Astyanax mexicanus: one gene and its partner. The protein of the gene in region 2 interacts with the protein of the main gene of each other region in a pairwise test. Links are inferred from orthologs where the notes say so. Each region holds a gene or a part of one and is shown on either strand. Other genes may lie near its edges. The genes, in order: mpp1 and aspartyl aminopeptidase.

Region 1 (12,290 bases), on a different chromosome or scaffold from region 2:
ACTGGAGGCAAATGAGAAATTAACATATGTGCATCCATCAGCCATTGCTCTGAAAGTACTGACTAAATTCCATACATGTCAATAGGTCACCATAGGTTAATTACGTATATATATATGCATGTCCTGAATATGTTTATATGATTCTCAGACTTGATATAGTATGTCCCTAAACCTACAGTATATAACCCAGCTGGCCACCAACGTCAACAGACATTTTGTCAGATGACAAAAAAATTTCAGTCTAATACTGTTATGTGCCTGCAGGGAAAACATGCCGAGGCAGGAGTAGCATTAGCAGTAGATGCTAACCGCTATTTCCCCGTTCAAAGGTGAGTATTATCAGCCTGTAGCCTGCTGCTAACCTTGACTAGCACTGCTGGAGCAGGATTAGCATTAGCCGCTAACCACGCTAGCTCGTTTGTCGTTCAGAGGGGAGTATAGCAGACTGTAGCCTGTGCATTTACTGTGTTAAAACAAGCTATGTGGGATGAACTCCTAGCTAATATCACCCTAGGTTACCGGAACATTTAGGGTTCCTCAGTGTAGTGCTGTCAGATTGCATTAGCCGCTAATGCCAATGCTCCAGCCTTAGTGCTGGAGAATTTCGGGAATCTAAGCTTACTGTAAATAAACAGATGCGCTTCACTCAACCAAATTTTCAGGAGAGAAATCTGTGTATATTAACATACAGCACTCGTTTGACTTACAGTTTTGTTTACTTAGCTTAGCTTTACTTAACTTAGTTAGCTACTCCTTAACTTAGTGTCTCTTAAAACGCACCTTATAATCTGGTGCGCCTTATAGTGCGAAAAATACAGTATAAGTTGTAAGGTGTTATTATGTGAGAGATACTGAATACTTGCCAGTGGACTCAAGGCAAGAAGAGGTGAAAGCCTGATAGTGGATGCCAGATGTATGGGACATTCCATTGCCACAGGTGTACAGGGTTTTCATATTCCTCAATCAACAGTGCCGCATACGTATCATTTGAAATGAATCATAGAAGTAATTGCCCACCTCTACTGACCCTTTTGTGCTTTTGAAACATTAATAAAATGTGCTCTTTGATGGAACATCTAGATAAAAGTATACCCGGTCATAAATAGCTTCAAACGCCCGCTGGTAAGAAGAGACGAGATAAGGACAGAGAGTCAGGACAGAAGCAATTTCAGATAGTAATGGACTATGCCCAGCATTTTCGCACTGCAGCTAAAGTGTTCTGCTGCAGTCCAGAGCAAGTGTGTCCCTAGCGTGCATTTATTCCTTAAGTCAGCATCTTCTCACAGGTGTGGGATGCCACCGCACATTTTTATAGCCTCAATTAGTGCTGTAAAAAACATTTCGTCACTTTACGCTGCTAAGAATGTGAAAAAACTACATTTGATACTATTACAAGTAGGGGTGCCACGATTAATGATTATCTTTTTATTAAAAAAAAAAAAAACTTAAAATGATGTTATTATTACTCAAATACCTCTTTTACTACAGAAAATGAATCCTTTACCAGTAGGAACTTGACAGAAGTTGAAATAAAATGTGTTTTCTTTAATAAGTGTACATGACTTATATATGACTGGAAATTAAATGAAAATTGATAATGCAGGTGGCACAAAACTATGTTTAATTATATGTTTAAATCCTAAACTGACCCACTATCCAGTAAATCTATATTTTTAGTGACATTTTTGTGAATAACTGAAAGTCTCAAAATGAGCATTATATCTGTTACTTGCTAATATAATCAATAGCACAGCCAAGGGCTGGGTGATTTTTAATCGAACTAAAACACTCATATCTCGGTACGCGTGAAAGAAATGACACTATATTATTAGATATGATATGACGAAAATCTTAATAACACTACAATGCTAAAATATCAGTGTTTATTTAATCAAAACCAAAATACAGCATATTTAGTAAAAAATATAGTAAAAAATATATAACAGTCCAATGCAAAGACCAATGCTTCAATAACGGTGACTCCATACACACAGTGCAGGACTGTTGTCTTTAAAATTATATGAATGCTTTGTTGTGCTATTTCATTATCATTATATCAAGGGCATTTAATAGTCTAAAAATGACAATAATATCGTTTATCGAAATAATTTCTGAGACAATATATTGTCCACGAAATTGGGTTATCATGACAGGACCACATGCCCCATAATCTGATGATTTTGAAGAAAATATATACATATATTTTTTCTTTTTTTACATTGGCTTTATCCTTCCATTTATCATAATGGACCTCAAGGTACCAGTTCACGTGTCACATTTCTTGGACCCAGATGACTCATATGTGTAAAGTCAGATTTAATCCTTTTGTTTTGCGTGTTCCTACATACCACAAGTTTTACTGCAGGTCTTTGACCTGTTATGAACACGAAGCCTCCGCTGTTGACCGAGCAGATTAACTCAGCAGTAGCTTGTGCTTATGACCAAAGTCTTTACGAAACAATCTGTCCACAAAAGCCACTCTAATGCAAGTCAGTCTAATATGGTTGCTTCTTAAAGTCTCAACCTTCTCCTGAAGAGACAATAAAGCTCCAGTTGGCTTATAAAGACCCTCCTGATGACACAATAGAGGGCAGATTGGTCTTGTTCGTTAACCCTTCCCCCAGCTACACATTCACACCTAGAACGGTTTCGGATCCTTTCAAAGAACATTATCTCTAGACCCTTGTATACATTAACGACCCAATGGGTGGGTTTCAATCTGTCAGGCTAATCAGAGAAAAACTGCATTAGGCTCATAACAACGTCAACCAAAGAACAGCACTTGTAAGATTAACGATTAACAGAGCATGTGTTCCTTTTACGTAGATGTTCTCAGCTAGTGTGTCTCAGAAGATGGCTCTTTGTCTGTTTGATTACATCACAGTGTTTTTTGTGCTAATACATTAGTCAGTGATGAGCCTGCTTTTATAAACTGGGCTTCCAATAATGACTGGAGTTGAGTCATGTCACGTGTTACATGAGAACAGAGCAAAATAATCAATCAATTAATCAATACTCTGATGTATTTCTGTGATGAAAAAGACCAGAGATTTGTGTGTAAGAGAAGCAATTTTATAGGTTAAAAGTGTTGTTTATATATACACACAATACACCAGGAGAACCATTAAAACTCTATATAGCACCCTAGAGGATTCCACCATATTAACTAGTCAAAGAACCCCCTTTTAACACTATAAAAGACCCTTTTTGTTTTAAAACGAAGACAAAGTCAACCCTTTATGTTGGACGCAGATGGAATTTGACTTATGCCTTTAACCCCTCTGTGCAATGAATACACACACAGTGTGTTATTCACCATTGAGCAAACACACATGCTCAAGGGCCTTTCTCAGGGGCCCAACAGTGGCAGTGCAGCAAACCTGGGTCTTGATCCCCCAACTTGATCCACAGTAAAACTAGTTAACTAGTGCTCTAGTTAGTCTAAAAGAGACTCTAGTCTAAAAAGAGGTCTAAAAAGCTAATTTGTAAAGATGTATTAAACCTCTTTAATACCATTTATATTTGTGATAAATGGTACAATGGGATCTATGACAAATGCCACAGAAGAACCATGTTGTTATAAAATATGTGAGAAAAATATGTATGAAAAAAAAAACTTATAATAGTTTCAAGAATTTTACCAATTTAAAAGTACTTTACACAAACATGGTTTGTTATGGAATCCAATGTTTTTCTTTTTTTCTATGGAACCAAGCATTTCTAGGGTTGTTCTTTAAGAGGAGTCTTCTAAGGGCTAAGAAACATCCACTGAAATATTTATATAGAAACCAAAAGTGCTTCTCCTAAGAAACGGTGGGCAGTATGATGATATTTTAGAACTGCCAAGATGTAACCGACAATGTCAACTATGAAAATTGTCAACTCTATAAATAGTTAATTTGTGACACCAGTGCTCTACACAGAGTGTTAGGGAATAAAACACAATGGAAAAAAGAGTTCATAGGCTCATTCACATAGTTTACAATTACAACCTGGTCTGTCTCCAAAAGTGTCCACACACAACAGATTACATATTTACTCTCTAAAAACCCATATTCCACATTTAAACATCTTTTATGCATTTACAGGGAACTTAAGTCCCACTTTCAGATGTTTATTTCATTTTAAAGTGATGGGGGCATGGCAGAAATAACTGTTGACTAATCAACAACCAATCAGAAAAATAACCATCAGATTAGGTATCTACCAATTTAACAATTAGTTACAGCCCTACAATTATTTAGTGCACTGTGATAAATGAAGAACACTAATTCAAGAACACTAATTCAACTGTACATTTAATCACAGCGAGTGTAATAAGTCCTGTTTGATTAGATTAATTGCATATTTTGAACAAAAAACACTGACCTCAGTCTGTGAGTCTAAATATTGCGATAAATATCATGAAACCACGTATCATGAAAAATAAAAAAATAATATTAATTTAAAATTTAAATATCATTAATTTTTTTTTACCATTTTGACCAGCTCTATATGGTCTCATTTGAAGACCACTTAGCATTTATCTAGAGTCCTTGAAGAAACACTTCTTAAGGGGTTTAAAGAACCATTGTGAACTAAATATCTTATATTTTCATATATATATATATCATATATAAACCAAAATTGGTTCTTTTATGGCATCCCTTCAAAAACTCCAGAACAGCTTGAGCACTTTTGTTTTTTTGGAAAAAAAAAATTGAGACAACTTAAAAATGATGAGTTTCTTTGATTTGACCAAACTGAAAACCTCTGGAATATAATCAAGAGGAAGATGGGTGATCACGAGCCATCATACCGAGCTGAACTGCCTTTTTGCACCAGGATTGGCATAAAGTTATCCAAAAACAGTGTGTAAGACTGGTGGAGGAGAACATGCCAAGATGCATAAAAACTGTGATTAAAAAAGGGTTATTGCACCAAATATTGATTTCTGAACTCTATTGAGGTCTGAAAGCTCTGCATCTTTTTTTATAGTACATATATTTTTTATACTGTCTACAGTCAGTGCTAGATGGATTTTGGGGTCTACAGCAGTGCAGCTACTAGCAGCTCCAGCTGATCTGTGCTGTGAATTGGCTGAAGTTGAAGCAGCCTGAGGCTGGGGGTGATGTTGTTGATGTTGGTGATGATGATGATGATGCTGAACACAAACCGGGCTGCGCCGGTCTGAACCAGCACCACCACATCTGCCTACACCGCAGGCCAGCAAAGACCAAACGAATACAGTCACGATACACGAGGAGGAGACCTGAAAGCTACCGAGAGAAAGGGAAAAGAGGAAGAGGAAGGGATGAAGGGAAAGAGGGGAAAATGGAAGAGCACTGAGGACAGTACTGAACTGGGTTCAGTACAGGGCTCTCAGCTAGCTAGGTTACTCACCTTGTCAGCCTTGGGCTTGTTCTGCAGCAGCTGCTCCAGGTAGAGGTCCGAGAGAGCCGTGCGGACGCTGCTCACCCGCTCCAGAGTGACGGCAGGCTCGTTCTTACTGCACTTTAACGTCATATCTACAGAGTCGCTGCAAAAAAAGGTTGGTGGGGGATAGAGGTTAAAAAATAACCTCTGGTCAGATGGGGAGATAGAGAGAGAGAGAGAGAGGGGAGTCTTGAGGGCGGAAAAAAGAGCGATAAGGAAGCTGGAGATAAAGTGTGAGATAAAAGTTCAGCTCCTGCTCGAAGTCCGAAGTTCAGGGCGATGGAGCTCCTGCTGCTTCTACTGCTGTTACTGCTGTGGAGAACCAGCTGACAAAAGCGCATAAACACTTACGTATGGAGGCTCTGGAGGAGGAGAAACCTGGGGGTGGGTTCGCTGCAGCTTCCATCAGAGCGGAGCAGTTACGTGGATATGATGACGGAGCGGAGGGAGGAGGGGGCTAATGCTAAAGCTGAGACTGAGCGAATGTGTGTGTGTGTGTGTGTGTGTGTGTGTGTGAGCGAGTGTGTGTAAGAGTGTGTGTGTAGTGGTAGAGTGGTGGAAATGTCAACAGCCTCTGAGAGAGCTGTCCAAGTCTTAACCTTAAACAACATTAACCAGTTCTGCAATGAGCCTGTACAGAACTAACGCGAGCGCTGTGGAAATGTCAACATTAACGGGTTCAAATATGGCGGCCAAAACAAACAGTGCAGTGCTGTCAAAACAAATATACGAATATCTGCAAGATTACTGTAAAAAATATAGCGTTAGCTAGCATGGCATTTGCCATTGTAAGGGTAGGCAAAAAGTCCACAACGACGTGTTGTATTTTTATCACCTTCCTTTAATAATCCTAAAATATGGGTACGTTACTTGCTACAAGCGGGATTTAGAGGGTCTAACCAGCTACCAGGCTCAGAAGTTTGGGCTTATAGTGGTTTGATATATTTTTTCAGCAGAGAGTAAGTTTTTTTCAATACTGCTTATTTTTTGCCACCAAATAAATATTTTTATATATTTTTATGTATCAAACATTTTGTCCAAATGTCACAAACTTCAAAATAATTTTTATTGGCATTTACAGTATACATTTCAATAGCATTCATTTATTGTGTTTCACATTGACATCAGGATATTCAACCGCTTTATTATACATTGCACTGTTTAAAAAGCCTAGACTTTTATTTTTAGTGTGTCAGAGCCCTTTGAATAGCTTATTATGGGCTCAAGAGCTTTTATTTTTATCCAATACAATATTGGCTATGGGATATGAAAATCAAGGTGGTTCCTCCAAGTAGATATCCCAAATAGCTGGAATGGTAAAGCATTTACCACCTGTCAATGTTGCCATTCTTTTTTGGTGTTAGTTTGTCCCATTCTTCCTGCAAACAGTCCTACATACATTTAATTTCAAAACTCTGCACATTCACTATTAGGGACAGCTAGGAACTGCAGGCAGGCCACTCCAGTATCTCTACTCTCTACGTCAGTAGATATGTGCTGCATTTGGTTTTGCATTGTTTTGAAGAAAATTGTATTGATGTTTCTGAAATATAAATTGCTTACACAATAAACATTTAAATAACTAAATACTGATTCAATTATGTAAATAAAAATTTCTCTTTATTTTTTAGAACATTCTATTCAGTATTCAATCAAACAATAAATCGCAAATATTAACACTAACAGACACTTAACAAAGAATGCATTTTCTAGCAATTCAAAAATGTTAATCTTATCTTGTTAGAAGTGCTTCCATTGATCATCCAATGCCTGCCGTCATCTGGTTCACTGATAGCATTTTATTAAGGTAGCATGCATTAATGAGTTAATCAGCTTTATAAAGCTGCCTTAGAGCAGCATTCATTACACAAGCGAGGCAGCTTTAAATAATCGTATACAGTGCAACACAATTTAATATTAAATCTATTCATCTTTAGTCATTTATTTAATCTAAATAAATATATGTGCATTTGAACAAATATAAAAAGTAGAATTTAAAAGCAGATTTTAAGCACGTGCCACTACAACACTACAAGAGGGATCCTTGTAAATTACCTGGAGTACATTTACATAATTACAATATTTCTTTACTTCAGGATACTACACAAGTGCCATATATTGCTGTAGAGAGGAGAAAACATTATAGCTGATCATTGAAGTATTATAAAACACTACATAAATAAATTATTTTTTTTCAAAAGTTGCAGTCTTAGTGGAGCTAGACTGGTATTTTCAACTTCAGTTTTTTTTTATTCAATTGTACACAATGTGTGTATTGCAATTACTATAGTTTCCTACATACCCTAGATATGTTACGTAGAGATAAACATTATAAAGTGATACAGTATTATCATAATGTTGTAAATCAGTATAATTTTATAGTATTTGGCACTACAGCTCTGTAAATATAGTGCACATACAATATCTATAACTCCAATGTTTTCAATTTGTGTTGTACGCCTTTGTGTGTGCAGTTGAAATGTCATCAGCATTCACATATTCAGAATTTGTGAATGCTGTCAAAATGTCAGAAACACTGCCATTGCAGAACAAACTTGTGAGCTTTTTGTCCCTTTTCAAAATAACCCCTTCTAGCTGAAGTTGGCACTGGGCATGTTGACTTTAAGATGTGCAGCTTTTACTGAGTGCCATTTCCTTAACCAATAAGAGCCCAGACCCATTTGTCAATATTGATGTCAAATTAAAAACTGAGTAAGATAAAAATCAGTAAGCAGCTCATTCCTGTTTTTTTTTTCTTATGTAAATACTTTAAGGTTAAATCCTGATAACTTGTATTTGAACATTTTGTTCCAGAAATCAGGCCTATACTATTTAAAGCATTTGAACTGTTAAATGGTTGTAACAGAGCTGTAGAAGTTAATAATACATTTTAAAAGTAGCTAGTTTTATCTCAGCACTAACCCAGCACTCCTACATTCGGTAAATAAGGTCAGATGAATGAACACAGATTCACACATTGCCATGTAATCCGCTCAGGATGTTGAGTATATGTTAGTTAGGGACTTTGTGAGTTTAAATGAAGGACATAGTGCTGCAAGGAACGTTCCAAATATTTTAAAAGGTCTGAGGCACATACATCACCATTGGATAAGATTTAGGAGTACAGATCTACTGTGAAATAGTAACACGCACCATTACCATTTAATGATATCATGAAGTGGTCAACATAGATACACTCCATGTTCTGTATGACCAATGTACATCTAAGCTGTGAACCAAATGGGCACCAGAATGGCAACTAACCACGTGCCTCACAGAACAAATGTTTTTAGAGTCTCTTTTCTGAAAATCTGCTGCCATCTGCTGGTGTGTAACTCACAATACACACCAAACACTGGCAAAAAAACACAACGAGACAACTAGGCCCATCTAGCTGAGGAAGTTCTATGAGGCTGATGCTGGAGAACTGAGGGCTTGAGTCCAACACAGTTTTTAATATCTTTGCTGATTGGTAGAGATGGCACAATGACAACTTCACAGCACCCATCTGTAAGTGGTGTAGAAGCGATTAATCACATTTTTTTCTGTACTTCTGGTTATTATTAGATCCAACTAAAGGTCACTTTACAACCTAAACATGTTACTTCACATTACATTTACTGTTGTTAGAAACAATTATGCATGTAATGTCTGAATAATATAAATATATGACAAAAATATTAGATAAGTTTTCATCTAATATTTTAAATAATATAGCAACAGATTTGATTCTTCTTCTTCTTATTATTATTATTATTATTGGCATGTAAATTTTGTTGTATATTTACAAAAAAGTGTGAAGTAAAAACTATATTTTTTATTTTATTATTATTTATTTTTTCTACTGAAAGTAACTTACTTCTTATGATGGTGTCATTTTATTAAAAATATTTTTGGCAGCAGATAATATAAACTTTAGATAACCCAAACCCTCCTAGTCTATTAGCAGAACAAGACATTATCCAAAAGTCGTTTTTATTGCACTATATTATTATTGTTGAGATTCATTGCTCTCATCACCAACCTGCGTGTAAAGCTGGTGCCCAATGAGGCGAAAGCTCGGGTCAGTGAAGCTGCTGCTGACTGCAAGATATTTCTGAACAGGCATCTGAACTGAAGCCTAAACAAAGTGAAAGACCACATAACAGTCAGCGCCAGTTGCTAACAACAAACACAGCACGCAAAAGTTTAATTTAAAACAATTTCATGCTTTTTCTGCTGTATTATTTTTGAGTGGACCAATCCATATATTTTTAATATTAAATGAACACCCACTTGCTTTCTTTTTTTACCTGAAAAGGCACTTGTCTTATCTTTGATTAGGCCTTTGAACGGCTCTTTCTAATGCACTGGGTACATGTTAATTTTAGAAGTGTATATAAAATGAGGTGTTGGAATTGTACAGCTATAGTTTTATAGTTTTGGTTATGCTGAATTAATAATTCAGTAAAATAAATACTGTTTGAGGTTCACGGTTTATCATTTGCATTTAAATTGAAATTTCAGTCTGTAACCATGGCTCTAGTCATCACTCTATGAACAGATAACAGCAATTCACTTTTTTATTATTAGTAAATAAAGTTAAATTAATTAAATTAATGTTAAAAGCCGTTCTTTTAAAAAACAAACTCTGTATGTGTTTAATTTTCCTGCTTATGTGCTTTGTCCTCTGAACAGCAAAGTGATAGAAAGATTAGCTAAAACCTTAGTTTTACCTAAAGTAGCACTCATATAATAAGTCATGTAATGTGGAAAAATGAACAGCTTAAAGAGCAATAGATTATACCAGTTGAATATATGTGCAAAAGTTGAAGACATGTCATTAGTACATGGGGACTCCCACACACTGCCACACATGCAAACGCACTTGCAGACCTTCCTGTCTTCCTGTCTTTGTGGGGTATTTCCATTGACTCCTATTACTGTAACTGAGAAATGCTCTGATCTGACATCTAACCTCAACCCTCACCCTAACCGCAGTAAACCAAAGGAAAACCCTCTAACCCTTTTATTTTTCTAAAAACTAATAAATAAATAAAAAAAAACCTATGCAATTAATGTATTGCCTGTAGTAACGCAGTGATGTGTTCTGATAACACAATTTAAGTTAGATACAAACTTTTTTACATACATTTATATGTATGGAATTATTCATTATTTAAATATAAAGATATAGCAGCATACATTATTATGAATTATATTCATTTTTATATTTCGGAATTACTGATTTCAGAATTGTCAACATTCACTTATTGTAGGTAAACTATGTTTCAGTTAAACAGGTTTGTATTTGCATACAATAATGTATTTGTGAATTTGTATTTTATGAGTTTTGTGAACCACATTTACACATACCGACCACATGACACATATTCAAGAGGGCCTCTCATTATTGCTGTATTTAATGGACATAAATTGTTCCAGGGTTTATGTTTATTTGTCATAATTAATTTAACTTTATATATGTAGATTTATATAAACACACATGCATAATAAACACAGCTTTTAAACATAGTTGACATGCCCTCCGAGCAGACTGGAGAAAAGGATAACACCTTGACTTATCATACAATAATTTTTTATTTTTTATTATCATTTTTGCCGATGACGATAACAGCCCATGTGTTTCTGTGGGGGTTTGTTTACATGAGAATGAATTGCAACTGGATTGACTTTGTTTTACAGTTCCACAGCTCCGGTGTAAGAGTATTTTGGCTTTAAGCCAAATGAATGAGGAGAACCCATCAACGCGAGTAAGCCCGTATGTTTACTTTGTTTCAAAACAGTGGCAGCGAAGCTGAGATCTCATTTAAAGCACAACCATCCAGCCCAATTGTCCAAGCTAAATATTTAATATGAATATTGGTACCCCAGAGAGATCCTGCCTCGGTAAACAAGTTGGTGTTCCTTGTTCTGGATCTGTCTGACAGTTACATTAAAAATACATTTATAGAAAGAGCTATGAGCTGCTGAGCTTTCCGTGTCTTTGATTAGATGGACACTTGTGTTTTTGAGCCAATTTGAGTTTTATAGCATACACATATATGGACAGAAAAAAAATATTAATGTAAATGTTACTTTAGTCTATTTTGTTGTTACATTTTTAATCTATAAAAGTCTGTTTAATATTTAGTGTTGTTTTCTCAGAACCCAGAGTGGTTGTACTATATTTGTTTTATGTACTTAGGATATTATATTTTTATATTCGAAGCCCTATATCTGTTCTTAATAATAAAAAGTTACTTTCATATTAAAATGGAGTAATAGTATTATTATGCTAATATATTTTTTACTGTGGCACATTGTCTTTAAGCTCCTTTGGAAAGCCCAGAAGCAGGAAAAAAGCATTTTCTATAGTGGCGCTTTAAAATGACAATATTATCGCTTATCGTAATAATAATTTCTGGGACAATATATCGCCCTGAAAATTTTGTTATTGCGACAGGCCTACGTCTGATTGAAAGTCACCTCCTAAATACATGCACCACTGCAAACAAAGGCTAGCTTTGATTGTGGACAGTTGGTAGAACCAACCATTTAGGCTTTTTTAAAATAAGTCAGTTAACTTGGCAAAATGCTTTTAAGTGAATCATAGAGGCATGTCTAACAGACAATAATCTTTCACAAAAAGGTCCACTACCCAAAAGTAGCGTCTGAGAGACTTTTTATAGGGAAGCAATGAAAGCATACAGTATCTAAATAGACCACATGCTAATTCCGTCCTGCACTCACACACACACTGTAACTAAGGCCTATTAAACATAACATCCTGACCACAGTGGACACCTGTGACTGGTGTTCTAGTTTTTGAAAACCAACATTTAGTCTTGCTAACCTTCTCTTGGCTGTGGACAGCTGTGCACACAGCTTGTATG
Region 2 (12,024 bases):
AAAGAGTTTATTTCAGGTCATTTTGAAGAATTTCTATTGGTACGTTCATCAAGAAATTTAGCTACAATTTAAGTAATCTTGATAGTAATCTTGACTTGACTACAAAATAAGACAAGAAAACAACCAAACTTTATGTTATTAAAGCATGTTTACTAATACCTGAAGTCAGATTTTTTTTAAATCTTCATTGCTTTCACAATCTAGATTCCACTCGCATTTTTGGAACTGTTTTCACAGACAGTGATTTTTAAAAGTGTTCCTGAACCCATGCAGTTATTTAGTTTAGTGATTACAGTACAAAATCAGTACAGCCAGATTTTATAATGCAGTGCCACCTGAGGGCCTGAAGATCTTTTATATCCAATACAGACTGTTGGCCTTGTCCCTTAAACACAATGATTTCCCCAGATTCTTCTGATCTGATCTTTTGATAATATGGGCTGTTGATGATGAGATATCTAAAGTCTTTGCAACTGTTGAGGGGCAATTTTTAGCAGATTGGTGAAGCTCTGCCCATCTTTGCTTCTAAGAGAATTGCTTTTTGAAATACCTACCCACTGTGCAAAAGGACACTGGGCCAGATCCGTTTTGAATTGTGCCGGATCTGGGCCAGATCCTTTTTGCTATCTGGGTAGTAATGTGAGGTAGTGTAAATTGCTCCTATTGCAGCTCTTTTTATTTAGGATTTATTCAATAGAAGATACTATAATAGAAAAATATAAGATAATAGAAGAACTTTTCTAGTCTTTTGTTGCCCCCTCCCAACTTTTTTGAGATGTTCCAAATAAGTTGATATTTTTCATAAAGTAGTAAAATGTCTCACTTTCAATATCTGATATGTGCACCATGTTCCTTTGTGAATAAAATGTGTATCTACTGGATCATTGCATTCTGTTTTTATTCATATTTATTTACACTTCACACAGCATACTTTTTTGAAATTGGGGTTGAAGATCTACTGACTGGACTCATTGTCATGTTCATGAAAAGTGTTTTGAAACTATTTTTGATTTATGTTATAATGCACCATAATGCTGGAATAGCACAACAACTTACAAACAAAAATCAACACTCTATGTGCCAAATTAACACTGGAAAATGTACTGTGTATCTGTGAAATGTTCAAATCATTCTCAGAAACATGTCACAGCAAATGTCAACATGTACTAAAATAACAAAATGCAATGTAACATTCTGTACACGTCCAGAGTCCATGTGCACAGGGTGGACCATCTCCCAGACAACCCAGGAAGGTTTTCATGTTCCAGGAAGCAATGTTAATTACAGTCTGACCTTTTGCTACTTGATAACATTATTCATCAGAAAGCACTCTCACTAAGCGAGAAAAATATCACTGATTTCAGTGACAGGTCTATGTTCTGTTCTATTGTAAATTTATTTTTTCCATCATAAGTGAAGAAAGATTATTCTAAATAAAGCATTTTGAAATGCTTTGAGTGGTCCAGCGGACTATGGACCTGCCACTTTGATCAGGAGATCGCTGTTTCTAATCCCATTCACATAGCTCCCATCAGCTGCTGGAGCCCCGAGAGAGTACACAATTGGGCTTGCTCTCTCTGGGTGGGTAGATGGCGCTTTTTCCCCTCATCACTCATAGGCTGATGTTGATCAGCACAGGGCGTCTGTGAGCTGATGTATCAGTTTAAAAAGAGGCGGAGTCTGACTTCACATGTGTTAAAGGAGGCATGTGCTAATGAGTTGGTTGGGCATTTGGCCTTGTAAATTGGGGAGTAAATGCAATAAAAATTAGGGGGGGGAAAGGAAACATACCAAATGTCAGGCGAGGACTAGAGGGGTAAAAAGCCACCAGAACTGAGCTGTGAAGAAGTGGAATTGTGCAATCAAATCCTCAAGCAATGCAACCAAATCAAGCATCAATCCAAGTCTCTCTGGACAGTAGAGACAGTTACTCCAACAAAAGAAGAATAAACTCTTTTTTTAATACCCTTAATTTCAGAAGAAACAATGAAAGAGTACTTTTGTCCATACAATATATGAATATATGAAATCACACAGTCCCTACAAAATTCTCTCAAGCTTAAGTAAATTAGGAAATACGTGTCTTTAAAGATCTCAGTCCTGTTGACTGTGTGATGTGTGTTGGGGGGTGGGAGATGGGGTTACACTGGTAAGGCGAGTGGGGTGAGTGAGTCCAGCTCATGCTAATATTGTACTGGAACCAGGCAACAGTGCAAACACACACATACACATCCCACTATGTAAATGTGATGCCTATTATTGTTTTGCCACAGCAGAGAATTATAATGATCCTTCTTACAGTAATGTTACATCAGAAATTTTCAGAATACTGTGTCTTTTGTCCCTCACAACTAAAGAAAAACATTTTTTTTTATTTACCATATTTATAAGACTACAGACTATTTCCCAGCCTAATCACTTTTAATTTTCACTTTTTATTATCTATCATGCATGCATGAACTCATTAATCTTCATTGATGTTCAATAGACTCAGAAGTCTAAAGAAACATTTTGTCTATCGATTTAAAGGTCTCCTTCTGGGAAAGCAACGCGGCCAGGGGAGAGCGGCACCGCGGCATTTATACCGTGCTATATCTTTATAACTAAGGCTGTATCTCTGAAAACATTTTGTCCTTTGAGTTTTACAGCTGTACATTTGACTGTGGGGGAACGCAGGTAGATGCTCTGCTGCAGTGCTGTTATCCAATCAGAGGCGATATGTTTGCATGTATGAATATTTATGAGCAAGTGCCATAACCAGCCAAGACCAGTAATTTAATTATCTAAAGCAGGGCTATACAGAAAAACCAGCGCACTTTTTTTGCACAAAAAACAGCTCACATGACATTCATTCATATTAGAGATCACAACTAGACATTTTAAAAGGATTGAAAAATGACGGAATGAGACCTTTAAAGGAAGATGCAGGAGATCCTTAATCATCCAGCAAGATAATGATCCACAACACACTGCCTGGAAAAACATCACAGAAAAGAATGCACAAGTTTAGTGATGTCAGTGGCTCACAGGCTAGATGCAGTTATTGCAAGCTGTTCCAATACTTTTGCTCACGAAATGGGTGGGTTCAGGCATAAGGTGTTATCTTCTGAACTGTGTAACAGATTCAAATGTGAATATTTGTGAAATAGATGTGAAATAAAAGCTGAAATATTAATCTTTTATCTCATATTCAATATATAATATTAAACGCACATGGTTTTAATCTACAGCAGAAATAAAGGGATTGTTTCAATACTGTATATCCACCATCTCCAAAGAAGAAGAACTGTGTAACACATACATGCCTTACCGAGACATCTCGGTACTGGAGCTCTAGTAACAGCTCCTCTCCTCTGGAATGCAGTGGATATAATGTAGTGGGTTGTAATTAGACAGTGATTGCATTTCATTTTGGCACAAATTCCTGGCTGCTCCTAGATGAAATGCAATCCTGTGCATTGTAATTTACTTTTGAACATTTGCAGCGCCACACAGTGGAATACAATGCAGTTGAGCTGATTGCATTTTGAGGAGGTTGTGTGCAATTTTGACATGAATTTAGCTTTTGGTTTTGAAATAGTAAATTATTGTATGCTGTTTTTACAAGTGTACATACGTGCTTTAGACAGACAGACAGACCGATCGATAGATACTTTATTTACTGCGCTGGAACATCAGTTCACTATAGCATTAGCTTAAAGCTAGCATTTTTCTAATTACGACTCTTAAACGATCTTGAAATTCAGAGGATCCAGTTAAGTTCAGGAGGAAAATGTACACAGAATAAAACGTACAGGGGTCTGAACATATTCATTTACCACAGAATGTGATAGAGCTGGGTTTTTGAAATGCCCATTCATTTTTCACATAGGGAAAAAATGCTTAGACATGGAAGCCATACGAGGACTACAGAATGGCACACGACTTCAGTGGTCTATTTTTTTTTTTTCCTGGGTACACAGTTTTTATTAAATATGGATTTACAAACATATTGCTACATTTTCACATTTTCATCTACAATGTCCACATATTCATTTTTAATATTATGTAATCTAGGTGTCGTGTGGAAGGTGACCTGTGTAGACTTCTTACAGTCCGATATCCCACAATGCACCTCGCAGCAGTATCAGAGGTGGAGAAAGTAGGTACCAGTAGATTATAGACCACTGAAGTCGTGCGTCATTCTGTAGTGCTCGTACGGCTTCCGTGTCTAAGCGTTTTTTCCCTATGAGAAAAATGAACAGGGTTTTTAATAACCCTTCCTATCACATTCTGAGGTAAATAAATCTGTTTAGATTCTGTGTACATTTTACTCCTAAACATCACTGGATCCTCTGAATCATGAGATTGTTTAAGAGTCGTAATGAGAAAAATTCTAACTTTAAGCTAATGCTACAGCGGAGTGAACTGAACTCCCAGCCTAACTGCAGAGATCAGCCCGGGACTATTTTTGGCGCAACACCAGCAAACTTTGGCTGTAACAATACAGCGTACTAAACACAGTTGAGCCAACTAATGAACTAACTGCGTTGAGGAGAGCTGAGAGTGTCACAGCGTTAAATCACTAAAACAGGACAGTGATACTCCAGAACCAGCTGTAACACATTTTAACATTTACCCTCTTTATTATGCAGTGAAATAAATGGGTGTTTCTGGTTCATTGTTGCCTCAGTGAGGACAGGTAGTTAGTTGATTAGTTGATTAGTTAGTTGTTAGTTGATTATTTGGGTCAGGTTTTGTAATTAGTATAAACTAATGACCGTCATTAAATACTAAACCCTTCGGTGAAAGCACTGCTGAACTGAGAGCCACTTTCTCTTATTATCTGCCTTTTAAAGCTCTAACACAGACTACACTGCTCAACATTGCACTGCTCAACATTACTGAAAGAGTTTTCACCTGTTTAAATGCTTTAATGATCCTCTGTGAGGAAGAATAATAATCCAAAACGTGATCTGACAGGAGTTAGCTGGTGTTATGCAGAATCCAGTCCAGTGTCATTTCCAGCCGCTGTGCTGTGACGTCAGTTATGCATTAGCTTAAAGTTAGCATTTTTCTAATTACTACCCCTAAACGATCTCGTAATTCAGAGGATCCAGTGATGTTTAGGAGGTAAATGTACACAGAATAAAACGTACAGGGTTCTGAACATATTTATTTACCACAGAATGTGACAGAGGCCAGTTTTTGAAGAGCCCATTCAAATTCGCCATTTACATGGACCGCTTAGACACGGAACCCCAAATATGGGCATGAACAACATGGCGCCGACTACAAAATGATGACACGACTTCAGTGGTCTGTTATATGTTTTTGAAATAGTACGAAAAGCTTTATAACACTGAATCAACTGGTTTAGCTGCTCCGAAAGGCTTAAAACTCACAAACTAGTCAGTGTTAGTAATTAGTCTTCAGTGGGAACTCACCCATACAGTACTGTAGATCAGGGGTGTCCAAACTTTTTTTGTTGGGGGCCAGATAGAGAAATATATTTGAAGTCACGGGCCACACTCTGTAATAAAACAAATAATGAAATATACCAATTTAAATAATACTTTTTTCCTGATTATTTCATTTACACACCATTTTACTTGACTTACTGTCTTTATCTTTGACAGTGTTCTGTAAATTAAGATTTTTCAAATTGATGTTTAATTTCATGATGTCTCTTAATATTAAACTCCTTAATTACGGCAACGTTTAGACTCTTTTTAGAAATGCGCACTCTCTCCGCTTTTAGACTCTTTGGCCCGTTTTTCTGCGCTAGAAATGCGCACCCTCTCCGCTTTTAGACTCTTCACCCCGTTTTTTCTGCGCTAGAAGTGCGCACCCTCTCCGCTTTTAGACTCTTTGGCCCGTTTTTATGCGCTACAAATGCGCACCCTCTCCGCTTTTAGACTCTTCACCCCGTTTTTTATGCGCTACAAATGCGCACCCTCTCCGCTTTTAGACTCTTTGGCCCGTTTTTATGCGCTACAAATGCGCACCCTCTCCGCTTTTTATACTCTTCACCCCGTTTTTTATGCGCAAGAAGTGCGCTCCCTCTCCGCTTTTACACTCTTTGGCCCGTTTTTATGCGCTACAAATGCGCACCCTCTCCGCTTTTAGACTCCGCTTTTCTATTTCTAAAATACCTCGCGGGCCGCTCCAAAAAAGGAAACGGGCCGCAGATGGCCCGCGGGCCGTAGTTTGGACACCCTTGCTGTAGATCATTTAGTTTACCGTTGCTGTAACACAGCCTCCGGACACTAGAGGGCGGTAGGTGAGCGCTGCTCCGGCGCTTGATGCTGAGCTGTGTGTTTCTGTGGGGGGGAGACAGGACTGAGGGAGGACTGAGCTTTATTAATGCAGGTGAGCTGTGAGAGAGAGCTATAAAACTCCTGTCAGATAAAATGCCGGGCTTTAGCGGCTTCTGAAGGACTGCAGTTTAACTCCACTAGGCTCAGCTAAAATAAGATAAGCTAAGCTAACTCTGTGTGTGCCTTACTGTCAGCAGCAGCAGCTCCTGGTGTGTAACCCCGGCTGATTTCCCGTCAGTAATCTCAGTGAGCTCTCTCTACACTGAGCTCAGTGTCTCAGTAAACAGGAATTCAGACGGGCTGTTAGAGAGAGTGTTAATCTGCCTGTGGTTCTGATCTCTCTGTGTTCTCTGATTCTCAGTCCTTCATCATGAAATCCTCTAAGGAAGCTGTTCATGCCGCCGCCAAGGAGTTCCTGGGTTTTGTGAATCGTGGAGTTTCGCCGTATCACGGTAGGAAGAACAGCTAACTACATATTCGCGTCTTTCCCCACCTAAATCACACCGGTATCAGCTAGAAATACTAACTCAGTTATTGCTAGTAAATCTATAATTCCACATCTCTTTAATTGTGGTTTATATGGGTATAAACCCTCAGATCTCAGTTATAATATGTACGATACCACTGGTTTGCTCTGAACTGAAGTGTTGATTTGATAAAGCAGATAAAAGAGTGTAACTGTGTTTAAAGGAGAGCATTTCTCAGTTTTTGCCACTGAACTCTTTAGTTACTCACTCTCCTGCTGACTTTCTTTGCATAAAAAATATATTTTTGCATTGCACCTTTTACTGTTTGATGGAAAAACAACCTTTAAACAACGTTTATTTAACATTGTCTAACAAGCATCGCTTAGTGTTGAAATTCTGACATTATATCAACCTTTATTTAAAGGTTTTGAAAGATTCGGGCTCTGAATCTACACTCTACAATCTGCTTTTAGACAAAGTGTGCCTGTAATAATTATGTTAAGAATAATTAATATAATGTATATCATTATTATTTTAAATGCCCTCCTTTACACTGCAAAACACAGTAAAACTAAAAGAATATAATGCAAACAACACCTATCTATTTAATGTAAGTTTATAAGTATATTCTTATGTTGAAGATCGACATTGTTTAAATTCATTAGACATGAAAAAGTGTTTTGTCAACATACTTTTGCAATTTGTGTCTTATCTATAATTATTTAATTCATTAGTAAATCTCCTGTTACACTGCATATGTCTGACACGCACCTTACTACTAGTGAAAACTACATATCTTTAATAAGAATTTACATTCGTCACTATGTTTGTTCAGACTATATATACTTATATAGTATACTATATACTATATAGACTTTTTACTAGTCAGAATTACGTTTGAAGATATCAGGAACTATAATTGCTACTGGTAATAAAGTAATTATATTTTAGGTTAGTGTATTTACAAACTTCAAAAGTTGGATTTAATAAAAAAAAGTTGTTGATTACTGCCCTCACATACAGCCTGTATATTTATATATTTGCATAAGGTATTTGTATTTCTTTTCTTATTCCCATTATTATTGTTGTAAAGCTATAAGACAGTTTCACAAGTTTACCATTGCACTTTGCCCTGAAATAATAATTAGTGTTCTGTATTGAATTTCTATTCATTAAAGGATCCACTTTGTGTTTTCTCTCATTGTATCTCTCTGTTTTATTTCTTTGGTCATAATTCTTGTGCATCTTTCTGTTTTGCAGTGGTGGAAGAGTGCAAATCACGTCTTTTAAAAGCTGGCTTCACAGAGCTGAAGGAGTCTGAGCATTGGGACATCAAACCATCTAACAAGGTGTGCATATGTGTGTCTGGTTATGTGTTTGTGCGTATGCAGTGGCAGGTTTGGAACATGTTTCGGCTGACAACCGCTGTAGCATACTGGCAAACCTGATATTGCATATTCACATTAAGTGCTTAGAGTTTTTCTGTCAGTGTGTGGCTCTGGTTTATGCTGTGCTTTATGCTATGTTTTGAAACTGTAAAATCTAGGTGTCTATCTTAATGTTAGCTAATATAATGCACCTTTCTCTCATCTCGTCTATTACTGTCTTTCTCTTGTATCGGTCTTTTGAGTCTTTTTTTGTGATTTATTGCGTGCGTGTGCTCGTGTGTGTGTGTGTGGTTGGTTTCATTAAAGCTATTCCTTGAAGGTATCCATATATATTTTGTGTGGTTGAGACATATCTTCAGACAGAGGTTTCCTTTTGAGCCTGGCATGGTTTTGCAGATGTTCTCACACGTTATTTTCTGTACTGATTTATTTATTTTATTTTTTGTATGTTTCCTATAGTACTTTGTGACCCGGAACTACTCCACCATCATCGCTTTTGCAGTGGGTGGCTTGTACAAACCGGGCAATGGATTTTCCATGATTGGAGCCCATACAGACAGCCCATGCCTGAGGGTGAGAATAGGCACTGTGAATATGAAATAATATATATAAAAAAAATTGTTTTATCTAGTCCCTGAACTGAAACACTTCCCATATTGTGTAGAATAAAAACGTTGAATTATTTTCAGCAATCCTAGTTGCAGATGTTTGTATAATTCAACTTTATTTGTTGTTGTAGCTGCTAAAATGTGTTGTTTCATATGTTTGTACGAGTAGGTGAAGCCTCGCTCTAAGAAGACGAGGTTGGGCTGTCTGCAGGTCGGTGTGGAGTGTTACGGCGGTGGAATCTGGAACACCTGGTTTGACCGGGATCTGACTGTTGCGGGTCGTGTCATGGTCAAGGTACACGGTCTGATTAGATAAACCACAGTAGTTCAATCTGCATGGCTCACCAGTGCATTTTAACATAAATGCTTACACGTCATATTTTCTCTCTGTCTGTCTGTCTGTCTGTTTTAGAGTGGAGATAAGCTGCTGCATCGCCTGGTGCATGTCCAACGGCCCATCCTCAGGATTCCTCACCTGGCCATTCACCTGCAGAGAGACATTAACGACTCCTTCGGCCCAAACAAGGAGAACCACCTGTAAGTCTCTCAGAGCATCAGTGGAAGTAGGGCTAGAGAGAGAATAATTTATAGACTATTAGAATCTGATTTGTGTGCGTGTGTGTGTGTGTGTGTGTGTGTTTTAGAGTGCCTTTCCTTGCCACTGCAGTTCAGGAAGAGTTGGAGACTGGCTCAGCTGCTTCTGGTGATGCGTGTAATGCAGCAACCACAGTAAGAATTTTTTAAAGGATAGTAAATTCAGTTTAGAGTAGAACAGGTTATGACAACTCTTGTTGATATATTTCCCTTTAAATGCTAGAAATACATATTTTGTTTCAAATGTTTATGTAAACAACCAGATGTGTTTTAATTGTAGCCGTTCACATAGCCTATGTGCTCCCTGTGTTACCAGAGGCTTCCACTAGAGTTCTCTTATTGCCACAGTGGCATGAACACATCATACAGATGCATTTAGCTTTTCTGCAAAACTCTCCATCAGACCGATGCTGCAGAGTGCTGCACAGCAAGTACATCTCTAGTCTGAGATTCACATATATGTATCACCGTATCATGGAACCAGTGATGTAATAATTTAGAAACACACTTGACCATCTTGCCCAGCAGTTTAACCTGTCGGTAGCAGTATACACACACACACATATAATACAAATACATATGTACTAGTGAACAGGACATTGGGAACATACACTACATGCAGTACCAGACAGCCACCCAAGCATCCAGGCTGTATCTGGGTTCCTTTCTTAAAGATAAGTTTATTGTGAATGTTAGGGTAGCCACCTCTGTGCTCCCTCAGTTTCAGGCAGTTTTCATATACAGCTCTGAAAAAAAATAAGAGACCACTTCAGTTTCTTTTATAGGTTTATGTTTGAGTAAAATGAACGTTGTTTTATTGTCCCAAATTCCAAATTAAACAAAGACATCTAGAGCATTTATTTGCAGAAAATGAGAAATGGCTAAAAAAACAAAAAAGATGCAGAGTAATCAGATTTCAAATAATGCAATGAAAACAAGTTCACATTCATAAAGTTTTAGGAGTTCAGAAATCAATATTTGGTGGAATAACCCTGGTTTTTAATCACAGCTTTCATGCATCTTGGCATGTTCTCCTCCACCAGTCTTACTTTCTGCTTTTGGATATCTTGATGCCAGTCCTGTTGCAAAAATTCAAGCAGTTCAGTTTGGTTTGATGGCTTGGTTTCCTCTTGATTATATTTCAGAGGTTTTTAATTTGGTAAAATCAAGGCAACCCATTATTTTTAAGTGGTCTCTTATTATTTTTTTTTTTTTTTTTTTTTTTACCAGGGCTGTATATTTTCATATAATCCAGCACTGTGGGCAGCTGCATGCCAGTTGCTCGGAAAAACCTGCAGAGGCAAGTTACTTTGCAGGTTTGGAACCACAGGACTAAGACTATTTTTGCACAGATTTTTATTTTATTTACTGAGAAAGAAACAAAACTTCAGTGTTTTATTTGTTATGTTTTGTTTAAAAGAGTTAGTGAAGTAATGTTTTAGTCATGCTCATGTCTTTCACACATGGTGAGGTATAATACAGTTTATTAATTCCACAGTTGTATCGGATCAGTACGTTTATCTATCAATATTGGAACTGAGAAAGACTGATTGCTGCATGCCTCAGGAGTATTATCAGGAATGCCCTGTGTCAGTTATACTGTTTCATTGCATGGCATCTTTAATATAGATCACAGCAACCTATTTTAAAGTATTTTTTTGTTCTATGTCTTTTGTTATAATGGATCATTTGTTAGTGTTTGTGTGTGTGACCTGTCATTTCACTCCTCAGCCAGAGAAGCACCACCCGGCTCTGATCCGGCTGCTGTGTGGGGAGCTGGGGGTGGAGCCTGACACTCTGCTGGACTTTGAGCTGTGTCTGGCAGACACGCAGCCTGGGGTGAGTCCTGCTGCTCTCTGGGATCAGAACATCAAAACCTCAGTGTGTGTGCTGTGGTTCACACAGATCATCACGGGCTGCTGTTATCTTGTTGGATGCTGCAGAAGCAGCAAAGCTCCTGTCAGTGTGACTCTCCAGGCCTGTCTGTGGAAATAAATTATAGTGGAAGTGGTTCATTTTCAGAGCTATATCACACACTGTCTCTCTGCATTAATCTCAGTAATGGATTCTAACAGTGTGCAGAAACATGCTCAGAATATTCATTGATGTAATTGCACTCGTACTTTACACAGTGTGAACCTGGCCTTGTGAGAAGTTTAGGTAATGTTGTCTTGTCTATCTTTTGGGGCGTTTTTACGCCTATAAATGGCATGCATTTACAGAACATGCCCTCTTAGTCAGGATTTGTGACATTTATGTACCAGTTTTCAGTGCCAGGGAAATACAATAATCCAGCAGTTCTAATTCCTGGTGCTGGGATACCACTGTTCATGCTGGTTTTATTATTTTCTTGCTGTAACCCAGTTCACCCGGGCCACCTCAGCGAGGGCTGGTGCATTAGTTGATTAGTTGGATCAGGTGAGCTCTAGTTAGTATAAACTGTAAAACCTGCAGTGCAGTGCTACTCCAGGACCAGGACTGAGAACCACTGCTTTAAGCAGAACCTGGAAACTATTTTTGCTTCTGGGTTCTGGTTGGTTCTGTGAATTGCAGTGATCTATTAGCTTTTCACTTCTTTATGTTTGGGCTGTCTGTAAAAGAATATATATATATATATATATTTGCACAGCCAATAGCTAACTCAGTCTGTCTTTTTTTTAGCTGTTAT

What was found.
Region 1: the proteins of aspartyl aminopeptidase (region 2) and mpp1 interact in binary tests that used the Homo sapiens proteins (3 or more experiments, as listed by UniProt). The two-hybrid records come from large-scale screens. The link is inferred for Astyanax mexicanus from reciprocal best matches to the Homo sapiens genes DNPEP and MPP1.

Annotation. Positions count from the first base shown.
Region 1 is NC_064424.1:19,031,632-19,043,921, forward strand, and holds the start of mpp1 (55 kDa erythrocyte membrane protein), read right to left. Parts: upstream 5,888-12,290; 5' UTR 5,767-5,887; intron 5,519-5,766; 5' UTR 5,506-5,518; coding exon 5,383-5,505; intron 1-5,382. UniProt on the Homo sapiens protein: Essential regulator of neutrophil polarity. Regulates neutrophil polarization by regulating AKT1 phosphorylation through a mechanism that is independent of PIK3CG activity.
Region 2 is NC_064412.1:42,241,776-42,253,799, forward strand, and holds the start of aspartyl aminopeptidase, read left to right. Parts: upstream 1-6,197; 5' UTR 6,198-6,345; coding exon 6,346-6,351; intron 6,352-6,361; exon of another isoform or gene 6,362-6,532; intron 6,533-6,660; coding exon 6,661-6,751; intron 6,752-8,026; coding exon 8,027-8,115; intron 8,116-8,613; coding exon 8,614-8,727; intron 8,728-8,931; coding exon 8,932-9,057; intron 9,058-9,174; coding exon 9,175-9,299; intron 9,300-9,406; coding exon 9,407-9,491; intron 9,492-11,087; coding exon 11,088-11,195; intron 11,196-12,024.